Alligator mississippiensis: one gene and its partners. The protein of the gene in region 1 purifies or fractionates together with the protein of each later gene. This does not show direct contact. Links are inferred from orthologs where the notes say so. Each region holds a gene or a part of one and is shown on either strand. Other genes may lie near its edges.

The links.
Region 2: the proteins of PTPDC1 (region 1) and PPP2R2D purify together in Homo sapiens (affinity purification with mass spectrometry; 5 studies listed by BioGRID and IntAct, counting the BioPlex papers as one, with this or other methods). This does not show direct contact. The link is inferred for Alligator mississippiensis from reciprocal best matches to the Homo sapiens genes PTPDC1 and PPP2R2D.
Region 3: the proteins of PTPDC1 (region 1) and MAPK1 purify together in Homo sapiens (affinity purification with mass spectrometry; 3 studies listed by BioGRID and IntAct, with this or other methods). This does not show direct contact. The link is inferred for Alligator mississippiensis from reciprocal best matches to the Homo sapiens genes PTPDC1 and MAPK1.

The regions. Positions count from the first base shown.
Region 1 is NC_081835.1:27,446,351-27,450,099, forward strand, and holds the start of PTPDC1 (protein tyrosine phosphatase domain-containing protein 1), read left to right. Parts: upstream 1-984; 5' UTR 985-1,087; coding exon 1,088-1,301; intron 1,302-1,994; coding exon 1,995-2,166; intron 2,167-2,702; coding exon 2,703-2,783; intron 2,784-3,004; coding exon 3,005-3,123; intron 3,124-3,749. UniProt on the Homo sapiens protein: May play roles in cilia formation and/or maintenance.
Region 2 is NC_081829.1:75,732,329-75,736,077, reverse strand, and holds the start of PPP2R2D (serine/threonine-protein phosphatase 2A 55 kDa regulatory subunit B delta isoform), read left to right. Parts: upstream 1-1,463; 5' UTR 1,464-1,478; coding exon 1,479-1,527; intron 1,528-1,564; exon of another isoform or gene 1,565-2,141; coding exon of another isoform or gene 2,142-2,148; intron 2,149-2,266; coding exon 2,267-2,350; intron 2,351-3,749. UniProt on the Homo sapiens protein: Substrate-recognition subunit of protein phosphatase 2A (PP2A) that plays a key role in cell cycle by controlling mitosis entry and exit. Involved in chromosome clustering during late mitosis by mediating dephosphorylation of MKI67.
Region 3 is NC_081833.1:15,153,713-15,157,461, reverse strand, and holds the start of MAPK1 (mitogen-activated protein kinase 1), read left to right. Parts: upstream 1-1,043; 5' UTR 1,044-1,211; coding exon 1,212-1,354; intron 1,355-3,749. UniProt on the Homo sapiens protein: Serine/threonine kinase which acts as an essential component of the MAP kinase signal transduction pathway. MAPK1/ERK2 and MAPK3/ERK1 are the 2 MAPKs which play an important role in the MAPK/ERK cascade.

The DNA of each region.
Region 1 (3,749 bases):
ATATATATAAGTCCTAATGATGTTAAATGAGAATCATATGCCCTGAGGGCAATACATGACCCTAATAAAGGATAACAGGAATAACTCTATGCATTAGGCAGTGCTATACTGATTTTCTTCACTTGCCTGTTAGTATCTATAACATGCACTTTAATATACAGCTGATGAGATGATGATATTGCTTAAATATTTTTATAGTCGTTGCCCCAGGCAGGGGCAAAACCCATAACGGTTCCTGTGCTTTTGATAAAATTGCTTTTTTTTGGCTAAGTTAATTACCCTCTTAGCATGGAAGCAAGTGAGGAAGCAACTTATAGCCCAATGCATAGCCCTCAAAGCTAGAGCTTCAAAATGAGATGGCAGCTCCACCCAATATTTTGCCTTACCTCAGCCCAGTACAGCTAAAAGCTTTGGTTAATCAAAAGCTTTGCTCTGAAAAAATAAACCTCTTGTTTTCAATAACAAATTGTGTTTTGTTAGTGGATATGAAAGGTCCAGAGTGAGCAGTCTACAATTCATCATGTACTGAACCATTTCAATAGGAACACACTAATCTCAATCATTACTAAACTAATGATGCATTTTGGAGCTGCTGCGTGGAGGGAAAGCGGAGGTAGTGGAATGTCAAACTGAGAAGTGGGGGAGTACAGTGTATTTACTTACAGATTTCTAGGAGAGCAGGGCCCCAGACTGCACTTTGATTGCTTTACTTCTATGTCATATGCTATGTACTAATATATTTTAAAGATGCAGCATTTACTATGCACTCAAATTCTTTGTTTATTTATGCAAAATATTTTGGTCATTTCCATCAATTTCCAAAATTATCTACTTGAAATGCAACTATTTTCATCAGCTGTGGACAGTTTGTCCCAAACAGAATCAATTCATATAGAATTTAGCTGCCACAGGGGTAGCTGGCATCAGTGGCTTCATTGTTTGTTACTATGGAAACTGCTCAGCCTATCCTGAATAGCTGTTAGATCATACAGAAAGATGCACATCTCTGTGTAACTTCAGCGCTGAGTAAGTTGGATTTCAGATCCATTCAGTCTTCTACAGCATATGTGAACTATTGCAATCAGCCATGCAGGGCTCTCCCAGGCAGCGCTCAGCTGTTAGTATTTTTAGCAACTTCTTTCAGGGTCGGAGGCATTCTTGCTCCGATCCCCTTCTCCGTATAATCCAAAGGCGCCGGAGCTCGGTTGTGGAGGTACTGTCATCATCAACACACAGGGTTATGGTGGCTATCTCATCCCTAAACCCTGAAGAGCTGGATGCAACTTTTCCTGAGAAAAAGAGTAAAGTATTTTTAACTTAGTTTTGTTTAATACAAAACATGGTTGCATTTTATAATAGGCTAATATATATATATATATATATATATATATATATATATATATATATATATAATGTTGTTTTGATACACAGGGCATATGGGGGGGGGTCTGTGAATACATGCATGCAGGCGCGCGCACGCACACACACACACACACACTTTACTAGTTTTTATAATGGTTAATGTTTTATTATATCTAAACTACCTTAATTGGTATTTTATTCAGGAACGAAATCTGTTTTATTTTTTATTTGTACAGCATTTCAGTTTAACACCTTTGTTACAGAAAACAAATAAATAAGACAGTGCTATGAGATTTGTGAAGACATAATAAGCACTTCTATATTTAGGTAAAAGATGACCATGATATTTGTGGTGTTGTGATGAATGCCACATGCCTATAATTTCCTCAAGAAAGAAGACACGTTGATGTAATTTTTTTCTTACATCAACAACAAGAGAAGGAAAGAGCATTCATTTCACTGCGTATCTTTGCTGGTTTTTTATGTCTATATTGAAAAAAAGATCTTCAGTATTCAGTCCATATGTTTGTGCATTTTGCAATTTAATCAAGTTGTTGGTCTGATTCAAGTTTTGGATAGTGACTATCATTTGTTAACCTTCTTATTTACTCTGTTTTTTGTATGTGTTGTAGAAAGTGCAATGCGCCCAACTGCAAAATATACTAAAGTAGGGGAGCGCCTTCGCCATGTAATTCCTGGTCATATGCAGTGTTCAATGGCATGTGGTGGACGTGCTTGTAAATACGAAAATCCAGCTCGATGGAGTGACCAAGAGCAAGCCATTAAAGGGCTTTACTCTTCTTGGTAATATGCAATGATAAGTTCTATTTAAATTATCTATAGTAAATAAAACATAATGAAATAACAGTAACACAGACCTGTATTCTATTTTCTACTAAGTATATATACTGCCATGATAAATACTCCATGTACTGCAATAAAATGTCAGTTAATGTTTGGTTGCCCATAAAGGCTCACATAAAGGGATTCCTCCCATTAAGTTCAAAGAGTTTGGCCTCAGATCAAAAATAAAATACCTATTTATAGATTATGTAAATATTCTAGATCATAGATGTTCCTTCCTGAAATGTCAATACAGCTATATTTAAAATGAGTTCATAATAGATTATTTAATCTTCCATAATATTTTTTATTTTAATAATGAAAAAGCAATTTTCCATTCTGTGTTTTTATTATTCTAATTTGATGGGATTTTTTAGAGAAAGGTATAAAAGCACATTGCTAGTTAGAGATAGTTTCTTGAAAAGGAAAGTGTCTGTATTTTGGTAGAATATTACCCATGAGATCATTTTTCCTAAGTTCTGAATGTCTTTTCTCAGGATAACAGATAACATATTGGCAATGGCTCGTCCCTCAACAGAAATCATTGAAAAATATAGTATCATTGAGCAATTTGAAAGGTAATGATCTTTACTGGTAATGAATTTCTATAAATAGCACTGATGTATCCCTGATCCATTTTTCCCTCCTACTTAGATCTGGATTGTTGGTAAAGATCCTTTCATTTTAGATACACAGGTAAGGATTTATTCTGCAGAAAGAATAAATATGTTTCAGAAAATAAGGGATAATTACATTTTAGGTGCATATAATAATGTGACTCATTTGTTCCTTCCTTAAGATGTGGCATAAAAACAGTAATTAACCTTCAGCGTCCTGGGGAGCATGCTAGCTGCGGGAATCCACTGGAGCAAGAGAGTGGCTTCACCTACCTTCCTGAAGCTTTCATGGAAGCTGGAAGTAAGTTCACTCCTGCTGCTGTTCCTCATTAATTATTGAGGACAATACTTGCAGATATTCTGACTCTGAGCTCTCTCAGTCAAGAGAAGTTACATGAGGAGGACTACACAAAAGCAGATCTATTAGAAAATGAAACTTAGTAAGCAGAGTCTTGGATTGGTCCCTCTCTGACATGTTGTTGGGTATAAACTAGAGAAGCCATGTTGCTTCAACTGCCCGGTAAAAAAGCTAAATAGAAAGTGAGAGTAAAGACATACATAGAATATAACTACATTTCAGACACTTAAATGACTCATATTTTGCAATTAGAATTCAATACACTGATTTCTTTGTATTGGCAGTATGTCTTCTTTTTCCCTCTCACATTACACTGAGTTGGGAAGTGTTATCTGCTTAGGAAACAGCCATTAAGTTAAGATATGCTATTATGTCCAAAATAGAATGTTACACTATTCCTATATATAGCTCAGTAATTTTAGTATGAATCATTCAGTTTTGTGATACCTGTTACATTCCAGCTGAGCTAAAGTCTGAAACAACTAACTCCAGGGGCATTCAAAACTTTCCTAGTGAGCTTATTCTGAAGTGTAACTAATCCATTTCAAACAAATTATACACATATACTG
Region 2 (3,749 bases), on another chromosome or scaffold:
TCACTGCTGATGAAAATCAGAGGGAACAGATTGCTCACAACAGTGTTGCTGTATTTACAGAATTTTAGGGATATATGGTGCTTTTCAGATCTACAGCCCCATCTCAAGAAGTTTGCACCTCTAGATCTCAAGTGTAAGATCTCAATTTTGCATAAGGATCCAGTAGGGAAGATTATGTGGACTTCAATTTGGAGCCAATCATGAAAATATAAAAGTGTCAGCTATCCCCTTAATTGCAACTGGACTTCACATACTAGTAAATGTAAACAGGCGTGCATTTGCATGATCAGACCACTAGTTCTATACAAGGTCACCTAACCAGATATATAAGATATATTCCTGATATACAAGCATAGCAATGTACAATAAAGGTGCTTGTGGGTGAGGTTGGAATGCAAGACAAAAAAAAAAAAACAACACTCAGAGAACTAGAATTACAAAAGAAATGTTTTTATATATGCATGTCTTGTTGCTACTTCCTTGCAGTTGCTTTTTATGTTTAGAGATTGAGAGAGCAGAGCCAGTGAAGAGTACAGGTGTAACAGAATGAAAGCACGAGAGAGACAATGTAGGGAACTCAAATGATTTCCACCGTTTGGCTAGCTAATAGAGCATGTGTTGAGGCAATATCCTACCATAACTTACTTGTAAAGGCATGTTACAGATCCTGGTTTTGCTTCCAATCAAGGGATGACTGACTCATTGCAGCTCAGTAGATGGTAAGAGCTCATGCATTTTATTTTGTGAGCTTCAGCCCACAAAAGCTTGTACTATCTCGCTATTACACTCTGGTTAGTCTTATAAGGTACAAATCTGCTCTGCTTTCTACTCAACACCAGTGGGCTGTCAGCCAGGTTAAATCAGGGGTTGTCAACCAGGGGTATGTGTACCCCTGGGGGTATCTGGACTGGTCCTAGGGGGTACATGCAGGCAGGCAGGGACAGAGGGCTGCAGGGCTGGGGCGGGTGAGGCTGGTGGCACCCCTCTGCAGAGTGGGGAAGCTCGCACGCGGCCACAACACCAGCCCAGTGAGCTTCCCCACCCCACAGAGGTGAGGGATATGTTTAAGGATATATATTTTAGGGATAGAGGGGTGCTGCTGCCCTCACCCCAGCCCCAGTCCTGCTCCTGGGAGGCGGCAACACTTCATCCCCCCTCCCCCCCCAAGCACCGTCCCTGCCTCCTGCTCCAAGTTCAACCGTGCCCCTCGCGCTCAGCGTCTGGCCCCCGGGTTACTCAGATTTAAAAAGGTTGAACACCCCTGGGTTAAGTCATAAAATTGGAGAGAAGCAGGACGGTGGCAGCGGTGTGGGCAGCGCCTTTTCGCAGGGGTGCACCCGCGTGCAATCCCGTGCACCCCCTATGCCTCGCCAATGCCCTTTAGTCTACCACAACCATCACGTAGCCGTAACCCAGCACCCTCAAAGCCCCGCCCGCACAGCAGCCAACCCGGCTTCAACTCCCTGTCCAAATACTTCATGTCTGCGCGAGGGCGATGCCCGCAGAGCAAGCACGTTGAGGAAGCAGGTGTTTTTCCTGAAGGCCACACGGGCTGCAGTGCTCGAGAGCCCAGACAGCGCCTGTCCCCGTCGCAGAGCCGCCTTACGGGAGCGCTCCCCGCGCAGGTTTCAGGGTCCGGCCCCGCAGCGAGGTGGCCGCCCTGCTCCGGGGGAGCCGGGAGTGAGCCCACGCGGGTCCCGTCTCCTCCTCCGCCGGGTGCTGCCATCGCAGCGGGGCTGGGCCGGGCCGGGCCGGGTCTGTGAGGGGACGCGTCCCGCGCTGACGGAGGCCCGGGCCTGGCGGTGCCGCCCTCGTCCCGTCCACCCGGCCGCGCTCCGCCGCCCTCGAGCGAGGCCCCTCCGCGCAGCGCGGCCGGGCCCGCTGCTCCCCCGCCGCCCAGCCCCGCGGCGGCCCGGCCCTGCCCTGCCCTGCCCTGCCCGGCTCCGCCGCCCTCCCCGGGGGAGGCCGCGGGATGACGTCACCGGATCAGGCCGACCGGCAATGGGCGCCATTTTGAAACCCCGAAACCTCTGGCGGCTGCAGCGGAGTGCGGCGGCGGCGGTTCTGACCCGGCCCCGGCCGGCGCCTCCCCCTCGCGGGCCCCGCAGCCCCCTGCCCCCGCCCCACGGGCACCGCGCGACATGGCAGGTGAGGGGCGCGCACGCCGCGGCCTCCGGGGCCCGGGCCTAGGGCAGGGGCCGGGGGTGGCGGGGCCGGGCCGGGCACTCCCCCTTCAGCGCCCTCCTCTCCTCTCCTCTCCCCGCAGGGGTGGCAGGAGGCGGCGGCGGCAACGACTTCCAGTGGTGCTTCTCCCAGGTGAAGGGGGCCATCGACGAAGACGTGGCGGAAGGTAAGAGCCGGGCGCCCGCTCCTGGCGGAGCAATGACTAAGCTCGTGTCTGCGCCGTGCGGAGCCGCGCTCCTGGCAGGCTGGCGCCGGGGGCCGGAGGCGGCTTCCTCCTCCGCTGCCTCCGGGATCGCCCGGGAGAGCGGGGCTGACCGGGGCGGGGGCACGCATGGAGGCTGCCACCTCTGCCAGGCTCCGCTCTGATGCGTCCTCGGGAGAGGCTCCGTCTGCAAGCACAGCTGGGAGTCGCCTTGTGGCAATGGAGGATTTGCTGCTTTCTCCTTTGCAAGCCGCAGGTCGCAGAGGATAGGCCCCTCTTGGGAGTGCAGTTGGGGAACAGGAGTCTGCCTTGGCTCTTGACAAGAGCGAGGACATCAGGTGTTTAAAAAACAGGCAGTGTTGAGGCAGGTGATCTTGCTGTACTAGTGAGAGTTGCCATTTCAGTTTCTTTCTAAGCCTCCCACCTTGGTGCTAGGCTGGTTTGGGTTTGCGGTGGTGAAGCTGCACGGAGCTCACGACCTCTCATCGCATTGATTCACATTTTTACTGTATTAAGCGAAAGCAGTGTTTCCATAACCTGCAAATACATCTTCAGTATCTCTTGCTTGTCTTTAGGAAAGGTTTTGTTCTTATCGTTGTCCATGACGCATGAATTAAACATTGCAGGTTACTTTGAGAGATTTGGTGGGGGGGGTTCATTTGGGGAAGAAAGCACAGTCAAAAATGATTGGCATGGGAGGAGATGTGGAGATTGCTACTGATTTTTCATTTGGTGATTGTCATCTTGAGTGATTAGTTCTCTACTTTTTCCTAAATATCTAAACTTTCTGGAATTCCTGTTTAAATTATATATGCTACTAAGGTTTTCATGCTTGCAGTGGTCCTCATTTCCTAACATCTCTTTTCTTTCTAAAAGCTTAAAGAGCCTTCTTCACATATCTTGCAAAGCAGTCATGGCAAGATATTTTGCACACTTATATTATTCTCAAGTCACTGTTTATTTACTTTCTGAGCTACCAGTATGTCTTACTTCTGTTTATAATGCCATTCCATGTGGAAGAACTTATGTTAGCAAAGACCCAACAAACATCCAAGAGTGGTGTTTAGAAAGCTCCATTCATTGATGTAGTCATTAGTGATGGAGAATTGTATAGCTCTAAAAATAATATTCATTCTCAGCATTATGTTATGACTGCATGTTCTTTGACTGTGGAATTGATATTAAGTACCTATTCAATCAATGGGGGTTTCTGTCCTAAGTAAAAATTGCATATTTAGGGTGTGTGGCCTGATTCACTTTAGGGTTGTAAGCTGTATGGAATCTGACAGGGATCTTTGGCTCACTGCCCACGTAACAGCTGGCTAGTTCAGTCCAAAAATAGGTAGTACTACCAGCATTGGAA
Region 3 (3,749 bases), on another chromosome or scaffold:
CCACATCAAATCAGGGCCATTTTCTTTACAGGCAAAACAGTAAGATAGACATTATTGCAACCAATGATCACAGGATGGTACAAATTATAATAAATGTGATGTTCACATACTTCTTGTTCTGAAGACAAGCTTATATTTAAATAATGTGAAAAACGAGTAATAGAAAATATAATTGCATACAAAGACAATGCTAATTAAAGGTTGCAAATCAAGTGCTGTGAAGTTCGGGAGATGCCAGAAGCAGAGTTGCTATGCAACTATAATTCAGCTCCTTTCCATTAGCATTGGGCCCACGAGGATCTGGGAGATCCTCTAATCTGATCTGCACTCACAGATGCAGGATTTTTCTGTTCTCAGAACCTTGCCCTGGATTATACCGGGAGTTTGCAGAAGGGTCAGGAGCACGACCCAGGTCTCTGGGTCCCAGGCGGGCGCATTAACACAGGAGAGCATCCTCTCTCCTCCTGCCGCGTTCGTTCTGGGCCTCAGCAGGCAGTGCATGAGCCTGCAGTCCAGGGGTGGGCAAGTACTGGGGCCCGAGGGCCACTTCGGGAGTTAGGTGAGCTGTCCCGGGCTGAGTCAGCACCGCGCCCCACCCCACAGTCTGCCCCCGATCGTGGCCCCGCCCCGCACTGCCACCATCCCGTGAGCCCGGCCCCAGCCGCGCACCCCGCCCGCAAGAGCAGGAGCAGAAGCAGGGCGGACAGACCAGGGTGCCCAGGCACCGGCTAGAAGGAGCTGCCACACCTCGGGCCCCTAGGAAGCGAGTCTGGAAACGCGCTGCCCTGCAGGATCACACCACAGCCCAGGGCACCCCCGCACACCGCACACCACCCCCCGGCGGGGGGCCATGCCGTGTTGTGCCCGCCTGGGCAGGGGGAGGTGAAGGCGAAGGCGGAGCGTGCTGGGCAGGCGAGACCACGCCCCACCCCGGCCACGTGACCCCGCCCGTCACGTGACCCACCCGCCGCTGCGGCTGTGAAGTTACCGCAGTGTCCTCGGCCCCGCCCCCTCCGCGCGCGCCCCGGCCCCGCCCCCCGCCCCGCCCCGCCCGTGCGCGCGCCTTCGGCTTCTCCTCACAGCGGCGGCGGCGGCGAACGGGGTCGGGTCGGGCCAGGTCCGGTCTTTCGGAGCGCACGAGCCGCCCGGGCAGTGCCGGTTACCGCGGCAGCAGCGTTTTGGTCGCCGCAGCGGCTGCCGGCGCGGACAACATGGCGGCGGTGTCGGGGGCCGCGGCTGCGGGCGGCGCCGCCAATGCGGGCGGCCCCGAGATGGTGCGCGGGCAGGCCTTCGACGTGGGGCCGCGCTACACCAACCTCTCCTACATCGGCGAGGGCGCCTACGGCATGGTCTGGTGCGTGTCCCCGCCCCGCCCCGCCGGCCTGGCCCAGCCCGGCCCGGCCGCGTCTCCCCTCAGGACGGGGCGCGCCCAAACCTGCTCCGCGCTCCCCTCCCCGGGCGCAGGTGCGAGGTCCCCGCGGCTCCGCCGGGCTGGGGCTCGGCCCTGGCAGCCGCGGGAGTAACCTAGGGCCTGCGGAGCCCGGGCCGCGCCCCAAGCCAGGCGGCCTCGTCTCCGCGGGGGGCTCCACGGTCCGCTCCTCGGGCCTCTGCCCGTTGCAGGGCCGAGTCCGCCGGGCAGAGCAGGCCTTGGCCGGGGTTACTTGCTCCCGCGAGGCTGCCCCGGCTCGGGGCTCTGTGGGCAGCCTGGGTTGGTGCTTTCCTGCTGCCCTAGTGCGGATGTCCCCGGTGCAGGTCGGCCCGAAGCCCCCGAGAAGGCACGTTCATGCATTCGTGTTTGACACCAAGGCCGGGATGGTACTTCTGTGCATCCTCCCGCTTATTTTGGAAGAAGGGTGGGGGGTTGTCACAGGAACCATTTAACTTCACGGTGACAGGATATGTTTGGGTACTGAAAGGCTGCAAGAAGTGTCAGGAAGGATGCAGCCCTCTGGCAGTTGCATCCTTTTTTTTTTTTTTTTTGATAAGGCAAATGAGCAACCTTTGGTTAATGGGCAGAAGTAGGGAAAATGCCCCTGCCTTTCCTGTCTCTGCTGTGTTAAGGTGTCGCACATTTTTCCAAATGTTCAACTCTTCCATCAGTCCTAGGAATCTGAGGTTATACCTTTAATTAAAAAATAAATAAAAATGTGCAGCTTGTTGGTATTTTCTGTAAGTGGATGTTGGATTGTCTCTGTTAAGAATACTAATTCTAGCGGGTCTAGGGGGGGTGTCAGGTAGTATGAGGTGGTATGAGTGCAGGGTGTATCCTCCTTCTGGGCTTCGTAATTTAAAGCAGTTGCTCTAGGAAGCATTGTGGCTTTTATTTAATTGCTATTCTTTGGTACAGTCTCAAGTGTGAGAGGACATGGAACAAAGTCTGTCAGTTTATGTTGTGTACTTGAGTAAGAAAGCGTTGGATTGCACATGTCCTAGTGAGGTGCCATAGCAACTGCAGTATTTTGGTAGCGCATAAGACACAAGCTACTATGATTTAAATAAGATTACTTTCCAGTTACAGGAGTTACTGGTTGTACAGATTAATGCTAGATGTGTCATGGTTTGCTTTGCTGGCAAAGTTGCATGTGCAGTTCTCACAGTTCAAATCTGTAGAGGCCTTTTCAGTTTAAGGAGGCGGGGTGGGGGGGGGTTCTATTGCATTGCAAGTAGATTTATCTAACTTTTAATGAAGAGTTGTGGCTTTTCCAGTCAAGGAAGTCCAACTTAATATATTAAATCTGGCAATTGCAGTTATTTGTGTATTGTACTGTGTGGTTTCTTAGTGTGGAAATGTCAAGTGATTTTGACTCTTACAACTCTCCAGGGTATAAAGGAAAATATAGACCAAATAAGCCATTTGCTTGAATGTGTTCCCATTCAAGTTGTCTCTAATATGGAAACCCTTAGGCAGTCAAATGCCTGCCTTTATCTCAGTTGTCCATAGTTGGTCCAGGTTTTGAGTAGAAGCAGAAATTGAGTAAAAATACAATTATTACAGCACTACATGGCATAGTGTTCTCAGGGTGTCCTTTTTCAATATTAGAGCAAATAACGACTTTGTGCCTTGACTCTAGAGACCAGATTCTGTCTTGTGTTGAATTCCCATTGAAATATTGTGCTGAGAGATTAGGATATGTCCTTGTTCCTAGGACAAAACTCTAGGCTCTGCCTCTCCTGATGGTCTGTCGACGGGGGTTAGCCACTTCATAATTACTTTTTCTTTTCTCACTGTTTGTTTTTGTTCCTTTTACATAATAAAGACAATTATGAAAGAGAAAACATGGTGCAAACAACCGAAATGCGAGAGTTAACTAAAACCCTAATTAATTTCCAGGATTGAATCTCAAGCAATTTTGAATTATGTCCCAACAAATAAGAATATATATAAATACTGCATTCAGTCTAACGTACATAGTTGTTTTATCTAGTTTTTTTCATCTTTCCAGATATGCTCTCCATCTTAACTTTTTTTTTTTGGCTGGGTTAGTCATTTAACTGAATGTTTAAAATAATATTCATTTTTTGGAAAGGGATAGTTAATATCAGTGTTATGGGTTTTTTACTCTGCTTTTTAACCCATTGTTCCCCATCAGAATTTCTGCACGTGGAGTATTAAAGCAACAACAGATATAATACATATTTAAAAAAAAAAACCATAAGTGAATGCAACTGGACTAAATGATCAGATCTTGTACCTATCTCAGGTTCCCCATTGTGTCTTTCGAGTCATTGATAACATTGTTTAGCTACAG